3 linked regions of the Canis lupus familiaris genome follow. The protein of the gene in region 3 purifies or fractionates together with the protein of the main gene of each other region. This does not show direct contact. Links are inferred from orthologs where the notes say so. Each region holds a gene or a part of one and is shown on either strand. Other genes may lie near its edges. The genes, in order: PPP1R7, PPP1R11 and UBXN2A.

Region 1 (4,126 bases), on a different chromosome or scaffold from region 3:
TCCCACTGCCCAGAGCAGCCCCCACTGCCCTGGCCTGCCCACCACCCAAGGCGGTGGGGTGGGGCAGAGCAGATCATGCACCACACGGCTGCACCCTCCCCCCTTAGAGAGTTGAAGGCTCTTAACTGGGCCTGGTACCTTCTGGGTCCTCTTCTCCCTGCTCCTCTCCATCCTTCAGGCTCTGCTCACTGAGGTCGGCCACTATACCGCTGCTCTGCTTCTTCCCTTCCTCATCGCCAGATTCTTCAGACTCGACCCGCCTGTCAACTGAGCCCACACACATCCGTAAGAATTCACAGCCACTTTACGTGACTCCCCGAGGAACATTTAACAGACGGACATCCAGCTGTAAGTCAAAAAGACTTCATTGAAAAACATCGGTTGAAGTCAGCTCGACAAACATTTGAGTGTCTTCCGCGTCTTGGGCGCCACCTGAGGTGCACGGTGCTGGGGACAATTTGTGTGTGGGAGGGCAGAGCGGGAAGGACACGCGGGTACTGAGATGAGCAGCTACTATTCCTGCCCTCGAGGACACTGTGAAGCATTACCAGGTGTTCTGAAAGCCCTGGGTCATTTGTGACCAGGTACTAATGGGTGACACACAGTGAACGCCTCCTGTGCGGCTTGCTTTTGGCCTGGATGTCCACGTAGAGGGGACCAGTGTGACCCTTCCACCACATACCTTCATCCACGCTCCACTATCCATTTGGCCAAGAAAACCAGCCCAGTTCACAGGCCCACGTTCTGAAAGAAATCAAGACTAACTCAAATCAGACTGTGGGCAGAGGGGGGGGCTGTAATGAAAAAGGCGAAGACAGCCAGTAGCGCCAAACGCCCCACATAAAGGTCACCGATGCCAAACATCAGCACACAGTGATACCAGCTAACTGCTTTGAAAGGCTGGTAAATAAGTACTTTCTGAATTGATAGATAAGGCAATGACTAAACGTGGCAGACTGGCAAAATTTCTTTGCTAAGACCGTCAAATAATCTTCCCTTCTCCAGACTTTTTTCATCGTCTCCATTGGCAGTCTGTCTCAAAGAGCTGAAACAGGAATAAATCCCTGGGAGTCCTCAATCATCCTTGCTACGCCTCGTCCACAAAGGGGTGCACTCTTTGGGGGAAAAGTAGTTTTACTTCTTCTCTGTACCTCCTCCTGGGCCGAGAAAAGCGCGCCTGGGAAGCGACTGCTGGATAAAACCAAGTCCTTATGAACTCCGCCTCCCAAACCGCCAAATCCATTGCTTCTGCCCCCCTCTGGCGACTGCCTGGGCTCCCTCCTGGCCTCCTAACTGGTCTCTCTGTGGCTTTTTTTTGGGCTTTGTCTCATCTATTCTGCATTCCCAGAGCATCTGATGCGATTCTAACATCCGAATCTGAGCTCTGACTCTACAGGTTTCTGGAATGCCGGGGGCTCCTGCTGAAGATTTCACGTTGCCCTTAGAGACCCGGTGCCAACAGGCTGTTGGCTTTCCCAAGCCTCGCTCTCTGCATCTGTAACCAGGGGGCTGGGACAGGCCCCACAGACCAGAGGTGCTGTCCGGACTAACGCAGAAAAGCCTCCGGGGCAGTCGGCATGTGCATGACCCGCACTAAACACTCGGCAGTTAGCTGCTACCACGCACGGGGCACTCTGTGGCCGAGGCTAAGGGAGGGCGCCTTCCACTGGGCATAGTGTGGCTGTGCCCAGGGCGGCAGGGACTCCGCCTGACGACGGGAGGCCAAAGTGCAACGCGGGACCACCCTGCAGGCAGCAGACGGTCCGCAGCTGGGGCAGCGGATCCAATTATGGTGCAGTTTCGGGATCCCGGGAGCAAGGGGCTGGCCCACAGCATGGGCAGTGGGAACGGAGGAGGCACTGAAGACCTGGAGATGCCAGGACGTGCTAGGGAGCTTGCTGGGTAACGGGATGGGTGGGGACGGCCGGGCCGGGCCGGGGACGGAATCACTTGGCTTTTGCACGTGCCATTCACCCAGACTCCGAAAGGGCGACGTGCGGCGGACGGAGCGAGGGCTGTCTCCTGGCTGCCAAACACCCAGCCCCTCGCGGGGCCGCCCCGGCCTTCCCCTGCCGCCCTCCTCCGACCGGGCGGTCACTCTTGGCCGCTTCCCTCCACGGTCCTTGCCTCCGTCCTCCCCCGGCCCCGTGTGCAGGTGCCCGGGCCCCCCCTTCCTCCCGGCACTTGGCGCCCGGGTGAGGGGCTGCCCCGACCGGGACCCCCGCCCAGGCCGCCGACGCGGGCACCACGTGCGGATCATTATTATTTTTTTCCAACGGAGCTAAAGGGTCGGATTTAGCGTCTTGGGGCCAGAGGGCCCGGGCCGCTCGGCTCCCGCCCAGCCCTTCCCTCCGCGCCGCCGCGCGCCTCAGTTTCCCCAGGAGCTGCCGGGCTCGGAGGTTCGGGGCGCGGCGCCCGCCAGCAGCACGCCCGGCGTACCCGGCCCCGCCGCCCGTCCGCGCCCCGCCGCCCGCGCCCTCCCGGCCGCTGCAGCCTCTGCCGGGTCCCCGGGGCCGGGGCCGCCCCTGCCCCTGCCCCTGCCCCTGCCCCCGAGCCGGCAGCTGTCAGCGCGCGCGGCGGGGCCCGAGCCGGAGCGGCAGCCGCAGCCCGGACGGCCCGCTTCTCTCAGGCGAGGCCGCTGCGGGCCGCCGCCCCCCGCCCGCCCGGGCCCTCGGGCCGCCGCCCCGCGGAGCCGCTCACCCTCCATCATCTCCTGCGACTGTTGCTGGCCCGCGCCGCGTTCCGCCGCCATGTTGGCTGCTCTTCCCCTTTCCGGAATCTGTGGCCTCAGGCCCCTCGGCCAATCAGGGCTCCCGGCTCGGCGCCAGCTCAGCCAATGGGCTCCCACGCCAGGCTTGAACCCCGACGCGCTTGCGCGGCCCCAGTGTCTCATGGGAATTGTAGTTCACGGGGCAGGCCATGAGGGCCCCCGCCGCGGGAGCAGCCCGCCTCACCTCCCCGGGACAGGTAGTCTGAGCGCGCACCGCAGGCGTCCGGAGGCGTCCGGAGGCGAGCAGCGGGGAGGAGCAAGACGCACGGGACCGTGGCTGCAGGCAAGCGGAGGGAAGCGCCTGGGAGATGCTGGGGGCGCGCGGGCTCGTGCAGGGTCTCCGCGTGGGGCTGCACCGTGCGGGTCCCCCGAGTGCGTGCCGGCCCCTCCGGGCTCCGCCGCTGCGTCTGCACCGCGGCTGACTTCGTCCCGACGTCGCTGCGCGGACTCAGTCCGTGAGCGGCGGCTGCCTCCGGTTAACGCTCCGCGCAGGGCGCCCGCGCTGGAGCCGGGGTCGGAGCCGGGGCCGCCCGCCGGCGGGGGGGCGCCCGTCGGGGTCCGGGACGTCGCCCATCGTTGCGGGCCGCAGCCTCCGCCGGCCCCGCCGCTGAGGGAGCCTCCCCGCGCCCCCCGCCTCCCGGGCTGCAGACGGGGAGCCCCGCGCCGCTCACCCTTCCGGATTCGGAGACCAGAGCTGCCGAGTTGGTCAGACCCGGTGGGCGGGGGCGCCGTCTCTTTTGGCTCCTCCGGGGCGCCGTAAGGGGAGACCGGTGCGTCCCTAGCAACCGTTAGCGCGGGCTTCTGGGCGCCGGCTCGCGGAGTCCCGCCCACAGGCGCTACTGGTTGGCTCGCGGCGCCTGTCCATCGACGCGAGTCGTTCTGCGATTGGCCGGTGCGGCCGATCAGCCCCTCCCCGCGCGGCGAGGCGAATTTGGCGGCTTGGCCCAGGCGGGCCGCAGGTGAGATGGATGCCTGCCCCGGGGGAGGCGGCCGGCGGACGAGCCCGGGAGCCCCGCGCCCCCCGCGTCCCCTCCGTGCGGCTCCGCCCGGGGGGGCCCGCTGCCACCTTGCGGCCGTTTGCGGTGCCCTGGCCCGGGACCCGGGGCGACCCGCGTGTGTGGGGGAGGCCGGTGTGTGTGTGTGTGTGTGTGTGTGTGTGTGTGTGTGTGTGTAGGGGGAGGGGGCCCGGGGAGACCCGCGTGTGTGTGTGTGGGGGGGGGGGCCCGGGGAGAACGAGGGTGTGTGTAGGGGTGCCCGGGGCCCGGCCGCGCCCGCGCACAGTCCGCCCGGAGCTGGCAGCCTGCGTTCTCTAGGCGTCCTTGCCCCGTCTCCTGCGGGAAGGCGCGTCCCGTGGCA
Region 2 (4,096 bases), on a different chromosome or scaffold from region 3:
GACGTGTGAGCTGGAACAAGGAGAAGTCTGATACTAAGGTTTACCAGTATATGCTGAACACATTGGACATTTTGAAAATTGTATTTTTTTATTGCTGTTGACATAAATGTATATTCATTGTGATAAATTCATATATGGAAAGGTAGAGTAAAAAATGACAAGGAATCCTACTTCAGAGAGATACTTTTTTTTTTTTTTTTAAATGGGCTTTACTACGAATACAAGTTGTATCTTGCTTTTTATCACATTGAACGAAATTTTGTAGTCCGGCCACAATAAACATTCAAACTTAGTTTGGAGTCAATTTTTGCATTCCTTGGCTTGCACACTGCCCGGTCCTTTGTGTGTTCTGAGCTCTGAGACTTTCCCTGAGGTGTCTGAGCCCCGGGCGACGTAGTGGGAACTGATGGGACGGGCAGGGCGGACTTCCCTGACCACTTCTGTTAACAGGCATCGTCCAGAGTCTCCTCCCCGGTTGCTGCCGGATGCCACCGCCGGCGGCGGCCCTCACCCCTCCCGCCGCGGCTGGTGCAGGCTCCCCAAGCTTTCCCTGCAGAACCTCATGCCTGCAGCACGCACCTGGCCTCACCCGCACCTGCCAACCAGGCCCCTTTGGCCATCTCTGCCCGACAAAAAGGCAGGTGCTCCGTGGACCGCAGCTCGGCCTCTGCTGTCGGTAGCTCTTGCGGGCCACTCGGTAGCGGATTTCACCGCCACGCCCCGCAGCCTCGCTCACGTCAGCATCTCAGAGCCCGCACGTTATTCCTACACCCACGAGGCCCCCAGAGGACTGCGGGAGGCCGAGGAGGGGGAGGGGGATTCCCGGCGGCGCCTAAGGGAGCCCAGCCCTGACCTGGCGCTTGCACCTGCTGGAGCTCCGGGGCCGGTGCTCCAGTCCGGGACCAGGCGCCGCGCGGCGGGGGTCCCGGCGCCCGCACCACGCACCTGGGTAACCGCATCCCATACCCTGCGCCCAGCCAGGGACCTGCGCCCCGCCCCCGCGGCCCTCGGGGACCGCGCTCCCGCCGGGTCTCGGGCCGCGCCTGCGCAACGTCCGCTCCCCGCAGCGTCGCCTTCTCTGCGGGCTGCGGCACCTGCTCACCGTCACGTGACGGGAGAACTAGTCCGGCGGCGCATGCGTCCGGAGACCTTCGGCGCCAGGAAGGGACGGCGACGGCGGAGTGCGTCACACCCGGAAGCGGCGAGCCGGAAGTGGAGCTGGGCAGGTTACCCCGGGGGGAAGCGGAGGCCGAGGAGGAGGGGCCGAGGCGCTGGAGGGTCCTGGCTGCTCCTCCGAATCCGATCCCGATCCCGATCCCGGTCCGGTCGTCTTAGAGCTCGGAGACACCGGGAAGGCCGCTTCCTGCCCCGCCGCCCTCTGCCCTCTCCGCAGCCTCAGCCATGGCCGAGGCAGGAGCCGGGCTGAGTGAGACCGTCACGGAGACCACCGTTACCGTGACAACTGAGCCCGTGAGAAAGGCGGGGGACGGTGGCGCCCGCGGCGGGGACGGGGACGGGCCGGGGGCGGGGGCGGGGCGGGGTCAGGGCTGCGGAGGGGGCGGGCGGGGGGGGGGGGCGTGCTGGGGACTCGGAGCTGGCGCGGGAGCCTAGGGGGACCCCGGGGGCAGGGCCCAGCGGTGGTTCCGTTGCAGAAGGCGCACCACAGGCTCAGAGTCGGGGCGGGGGACCCCGGGGCGCCCCCTGGGTCGGGAAGCACCTGACGGACGGCCGCCCGTGAGCGCCCCTCGAGGACACCAGGGCATGATGTGGGAGTCCGAAGAGGTGCAGCTCGGGACCGGAGTGCGCTGGGCTGCACGCCTTGTTGAGGGCCCTGGCAGGACCGGGGCGGGGGCTGGGTGCACGGGTGCGGGCGCAAGCCCGGGAGGGTCCGGGGATCCTCACAGTGAGCCGCAGGTGAAGGTTAGGTCCTGGGCGCTGAGAAAATCCTCCTCGAGCATTAGTCACACCGAGGCCGATGTGGGGAGGAGGATGGAGAGACGGAGAGGGTTGAGCTTTCCCTGGAAGATGTGCGGGGACCCTCCTAGGTTAGTTGTGTTTTCTCTGTCCACGAAGCTGGGATGGACACAGAATATGAAGCGGCAGAATTCCCCAGGGACCCGGAGGTCACACACTTGTGCGCTACCCCACCTGCGCCGGGCCCCTCTGCCACCCTGGGTGGGGCCTGATGGACTGGGGTGGGGGGTGCTGGGAGACATGACCCCCCAGGGAGGGATGAGGAAGGGACGGCCAGAGGGGACCAGATGGCTATGTCTGTCTTTCCCCACCTTCCAGGAGAACCGGAGCCTGACCATCAAACTGCGGAAACGGAAGCCAGAGAAGAAGGTAGAATGGACGAGTGACACTGTGGACAATGAGCACATGGGGCGCCGCTCATCCAAATGTGAGTGCTCACTGCCCTGCTGCCCATCCCCACCCCACCACCCAGCTCTGGGTGGGGGAGCCCAGGTGCCTCCTCTGTGCCCCCACCCCTCTTGGCCTTCCTTCTCACACCTGACCACCCTGAGGCCCCCAGCTGCTAACAGCCTTGTCACAGCCTGGGTGGTTCTCTGGCTTCGGGGACATGGATTAAGGTTATAGGGGAGACATGGAAGTGCCTGGGATTGGCAGGTTTGTGTGCCTGAGCCCCAGGGGCAGCGGGGCTAGAGAAGCTGGACCCTGGAAGGAGAAGGAGCCAGTGCTGACACCCAATAGGAGTACAACTGATTATATGTTAACTGGTGCTCCTTTCCTGGCCTCCTCCCTCCGAATCCAGGTTGCTGTATTTACGAGAAACCTCGGGCCTTTGGCGAGAGCTCCACTGAGAGTGATGAGGAGGAAGAGGAAGGCTGTGGTCATACACACTGTGTTCGGGGCCACCGCAAAGGACAGCGTCGTACAACCCCAGGACCAAGCCCCACCAGCCCTCCGCAGCCTCCTGACCCCTCCCAGCCCCCTCCAGGGCCAATGCAGCACTAAATTCCTCTCTCCCCCACCACTCCTGTGTTTGTCTGGCCCTGACTGTATTCATGTGGCTACCTGGGGACTAAACCCACATGGTTTGATCCCTCTCCAGCCCTTCTCCCTGCTCCTCTGCCTGACGGAGGGAAGATAGGAGGGTCCACAGAGATCCTGGAATTCTAACTTGCTGCTATTCCAGAGCCCAGACTTTTGGGTTCCCCCAGCCCTCGTTTCTCCTTCCAGTATTCATCCTCTGCTCTCCAGGGATTCAGGCGTCACGGTCCTCGTCTCTCCCCTTCGTTCTCACTGCCAAACTACCTGTCCTAGGATCCAATTATCGTGTGTGGCCCCTTGCATTCTTTCCTGGAGTCCCAAACGCTGAAATGGGGTTTTCAGCTGCCCCGGCTTTCACTGCCAGGGTCCCTGTCAGATTGGGGGCAGTGTTCCCCAGCTATGCCTGTTAATCCTGGCTCAGAGTTCTTCCAGTTACATATTTATATCACCCGAAGTCCTCGTCCTTACCTGTGGGATCCAAGGTCTCCCAGGAGACCTGAGGGCTCCCGGCAAGCTCCCGACCCTTCCCCTCTCCTGTCCTCCTCCCTCATGCCCTCCAGAGGAGCTGAGGGAGAGAGGTCTGTGCTTTCTCATCTTTAATGGGAGATGTAAAAGGAAACAGGTATGGCCTCTTCTCACCCTTCTCATAAGATAAAGGATTGCCAACACTTGAAGACTGGTCACTTAGAGCCAACAATCTCCTCCGTCTTCTGGCATCAGAGACCAATCCTACACAGTCCCAGGGCCCTGGGTCCCTGAGAGAGGAAAGAAAATGCAGGGAGCACAGAGAAGGGGCATGTCCCAGACAGTACCCTCATCCTCCTGCCTTCCAAAGCCCAGATGTCCAGCTCTCTGCCCTTCCCACTCCTTACTGGGATCTTGACATTTTCTAGGCCTCTGTGCCATGCACAGTTGCAGAGATGAGTCAAATCCATACCACCACTGAGATCTCATTTATTGCCACAGATGCACAAAATAAATAACCCAACATCACAAAACGTGTTTAATATGGGCCCATTTATACATATGTGGAAAGATGTGAAGCTATATACAAGGATGAGTTTGGGGGTCTGGGCCATTCCAG
Region 3 (3,629 bases):
AATCATGGGGATCCCTGGGTGGCGCAGTGGTTTAGTGCCTGCCTTTGGCCCAGGGTGCGATCCTGGAGACCCGGGATCGAATCCCACATCGGGCTCCCGGTGCATGGAGCCTTCTTCTCCCTCTGCCTGTGTCTCTGCCTCTCTATCTCTCTCATGAATAAATAAATAAAATCTTTAAAATTTAAAAAAAAAAAAAAGAAGAAAAAGAAATCATGGAGTCTTTTTTGATGTAACCAAATTAAAAGGACCTAGATTATTGAGGACCTTAGGCAATTCATGGGCAAATCTTTTTTCTCCTTTGCACCCACTACGTGAGCATTGCCATTAATGTTACAGAGTACATATGCTAGCTTCTGAATATAGGGTACGTTTTATAATTACCAGTGCCTTCCACATTATATTCTGTGATAAGTATCTGAATTTGAAGTAATAAAAATGAAAAAATGAGTGATAAAGTTAGTATCCCTATCAAAGCCTTTAACTGTCAAATTTACAGTCTTCATCATATGTAAGTAGGTTAGGTTTTTTTTTTTCATTTTTTTAAAATTTTTATTTATTTATGATAGTCACACAGAGAGAGAGAGAGAGAAAGAGAGAGGCAGAGACATAGGCAGAGGGAGAAGCAGGCTCCATGCACCAGGAGCCCGATGTGGGATTCGATCCCAGGTCTCCAGGATCGGGCCCTGGGCCAAAGGCAGGCGCTAAACCACTGCGCCACCCAGGGATCCCTTTTTTTTCAGTTTTATTTATTTATGATAGAGAGAGAGAGAGGCAGAGACATAGGCAGAGGGAGAAGCAGGCTCCATGCACCGGGAGCCCGACGTGGGATTCGATCTCGGGTCTCCAGGATCGTGCCCTGGGCCAAAGGCGCCTAGGCGCCAAACCACTGTGCCACCCAGGGATCCCACGTTTTTTTTTTTCTAAGATTTTATTTATTTATTCATGAGAGACACATACACAGAGAGAGAGAGGCACAGACACAGGCAGAAGCAAGCTCCATGCAGGGAGCCCAACGTGGGACTTGATCCTGGGTCTCCAGGACCACACCCTGGGCTGAAGGTGACGCTAAACTGCTGAGCCAGCTGGGCTGCCCTCTAAGTAGGCTTTATGACAGTATACAAAGAGGTTAGATATGTGGTCAGTCTTATGAATTCTCATAGATTATCCAGATTGATAAAGATATCTGTATATTCATCCACACATATAAAATTATTCAGATGTGACTTTCAGAATAATCAGGATATACTTTGCTTCCTTCCCCCCCCCCCCCCCCGCTCCCCTTTCTAATACAAGAACTAATTTCTATAGAGAAATACAGGGCTCAGACTCAACTGAGCTATCCAGCACATTCCCCCCTGCCTTTTTTTTTCTTTTTTTTTTTTTTTCTTTTTATTTATGATAGTCACACACATAGAGAGAGAGAGAGAGAGAGGCAAAGACATAGGCAGAGGGAGAAGCAGGCTCCATGCACCGGAAGCCCGACATGGGATTCGATCCCGGGTCTCCAGGATCGCGCCCTGGGCCAAAGGCAGGCGCCAAACCGCTGCGCCACCCAGGGATCCCCTGCCTTTGTTTTCTTTCTGTTTTCTTGGCCTGTTTTTGTTTTTGAGAACTTCTAAATTCTTATAGAAATTTTAATCTGGGGAATAGTACATAAAGGTAAAGTTTACAGATATGTCAGCCCTATAAAATTGTCTATTCTGTAAGACATTATTTGAATAATTACTCACAATATGTTTACATAGCACTCTACAGTCTTACAAGTTACTTGGATATGTATAATTTCATTAGGTGCCTACATTCATCATATATGATGGACATAAGTAATATTATATCTTTGTGTTTTTATTGAGCTGTGACTTAATAAAATCTTCCTAAAAGGTATACTTAATGTAAAAGTTTTATAGTAATTGTTCAGTGATTAAGTTCTGCTTAATAACGATATTCATCTAACTTTGTTGTCTGGCTTTTCTTAGTGCCACACCAAAAATTGTTTCTAAGTCAAAGAGTATTGAAGTTGAGAATAAAAATAATTTGTCTGTTGTTCAACTAAACAACCTGGAACCCATCACTAATGTACAGATCTGGTTAGCCAATGGAAAAAGGATTGTCCAAAAATTTAACATTTCTCATAGGTGAGTCTTCCATTTCATTATTTGTCTGAATTTTTTCATGTTTAAATTTCTTTTCAGGTCATTCAGCAGTTTTTAAGAATTAACCAAGAATCTACCAGTTCTCTAAACATAATATATCTTGATAGTAGAAATTTTGGAAATTAATGAAGTATTTTCAGTTTGTTTTAGGATTATCATTTTTATCATTTGATTGGTTTTCCTGTATAACTAGATACATAATTTTTATTTTATTTAAGATTTATTTATTTATTTTTAGGGGGTCCCTGGAGAGAGAGAGAGAGAATCTCTTAGGACATACTAAAAATAATTACTTTATGGGGCACCTGGGTGGCTTAGTTGGTTAAGTGTCTGCCTTCGGCCTCAGGTCATGATCCCAGGGTCATGAAATCGAGTGCTGCATCGGGCTCCTTGCTCAGAGGGGAGCCTGCTTCTCCCTCTGCCTCTGCCTTCTGCTTCCCCTGCTTGTGCGTGGGCTCTCTCTCTCTCACTCTCTCTCTCTCTCTGTCTCTGTCAAATAAATTTTTCAAATCTTAAAAATAATAATTCTTTTAAAATTACATATCTAGGGCAGCCCGAGTGGCTCAGCGGTTTAGCACCACCTTCGGCCCAGGACGTGATCCTGGAGATCCGGGATCGAGTCCCACCGTTGGGCTCCCATGGAGCATGCTTCTCCCTCTGCCTGTGTCTCTGCTTCTCTCTCTTTTTCTCTCTCTGTGTCTGTCTCTCAGGAAAAAATAAATAAAATCTTTAAAAAAAAAATTATATATCTAAGGGGCTCCTGGGATTGAGCCTTGTTTTGGGCTCTCTGCTCAGTGGGAAGTCTGCTTTTCCCTCTCCCTCTGCCCTTCTCTCTGCTCATGCTCTCACGTGCTCTCTCTCTCTCTCTCAAATAAATAAAATCTTTAACAAGAAAAAGATTCTCTCTCCCCCTCTTCTTCTGCCCCCCCTTTACTACACACACACACACACACATATATACACTAACCCAGAATATATACCAGTATATTTATGTGCCTTTACTTGATCATCTCTTTCTTTTTGTGCAAGAAGTGCTGTATTCTGAATGTTGTGTTAATGATTTTTCTTTTATTTATTATTTTATTAAGTACATATGTATATTAGAAAATACTGAGTTGCTTTGCTCATTTTCAAATAATTAGTTTAGATTTTTTTATTTTTAAGATTTTATTTATTTGTTCATGAGAGACACAGAGAGGGGCAGAGACACAGGTAGAGGGAGAAGCAGGCTCCATGCAGGGAGCCCGATATGGGACTTGATCCCAGAACTCCAGGATCACGCCCTGAGCCAAAGGCAGACGCTGAACTGCTGAGCCACCCAGGCATCCCTCGTTTAGATTGTAAAGCAGTCATAAATAGGGCTCCTGGGTGGCTCAGTCAGTTAAGTGTCTGGCTTTTGGTTTCTGCTCAGGGTATAGTTTCAGAGTCATGAGATCAAGCTCGAGTTGGCTCCATGCTGAGTCTGTTTGAAATTCT

What was found.
Region 1: the proteins of UBXN2A (region 3) and PPP1R7 purify together in Homo sapiens (affinity purification with mass spectrometry; 3 studies listed by BioGRID and IntAct, counting the BioPlex papers as one, with this or other methods). This does not show direct contact. The link is inferred for Canis lupus familiaris from reciprocal best matches to the Homo sapiens genes UBXN2A and PPP1R7.
Region 2: the proteins of UBXN2A (region 3) and PPP1R11 purify together in Homo sapiens (affinity purification with mass spectrometry; 3 studies listed by BioGRID and IntAct, counting the BioPlex papers as one, with this or other methods). This does not show direct contact. The link is inferred for Canis lupus familiaris from reciprocal best matches to the Homo sapiens genes UBXN2A and PPP1R11.

What each region holds. Positions count from the first base shown.
Region 1 is NC_049246.1:51,237,960-51,242,085, reverse strand, and holds the start of PPP1R7 (protein phosphatase 1 regulatory subunit 7), read right to left. Parts: upstream 2,856-4,126; 5' UTR 2,753-2,855; coding exon 2,701-2,752; intron 745-2,700; exon of another isoform or gene 683-744; intron 268-682; coding exon 127-267; intron 1-126. UniProt on the Homo sapiens protein: Regulatory subunit of protein phosphatase 1.
Region 2 is NC_049256.1:27,782,304-27,786,399, forward strand, and holds PPP1R11 (E3 ubiquitin-protein ligase PPP1R11), read left to right. Parts: upstream 1-1,171; 5' UTR 1,172-1,401; coding exon 1,402-1,470; intron 1,471-1,652; exon of another isoform or gene 1,653-1,761; coding exon of another isoform or gene 1,762-1,782; intron 1,783-2,292; coding exon 2,293-2,401; intron 2,402-2,773; coding exon 2,774-2,976; 3' UTR 2,977-4,010; downstream 4,011-4,096. UniProt on the Homo sapiens protein: Atypical E3 ubiquitin-protein ligase which ubiquitinates TLR2 at 'Lys-754' leading to its degradation by the proteasome.
Region 3 is NC_049238.1:18,538,947-18,542,575, forward strand, and holds part of UBXN2A (UBX domain-containing protein 2A), read left to right. Parts: intron 1-1,976; coding exon 1,977-2,135; intron 2,136-3,629. UniProt on the Homo sapiens protein: Acts to repress the ubiquitination and subsequent endoplasmic reticulum-associated degradation of CHRNA3 by the STUB1-VCP-UBXN2A complex in cortical neurons.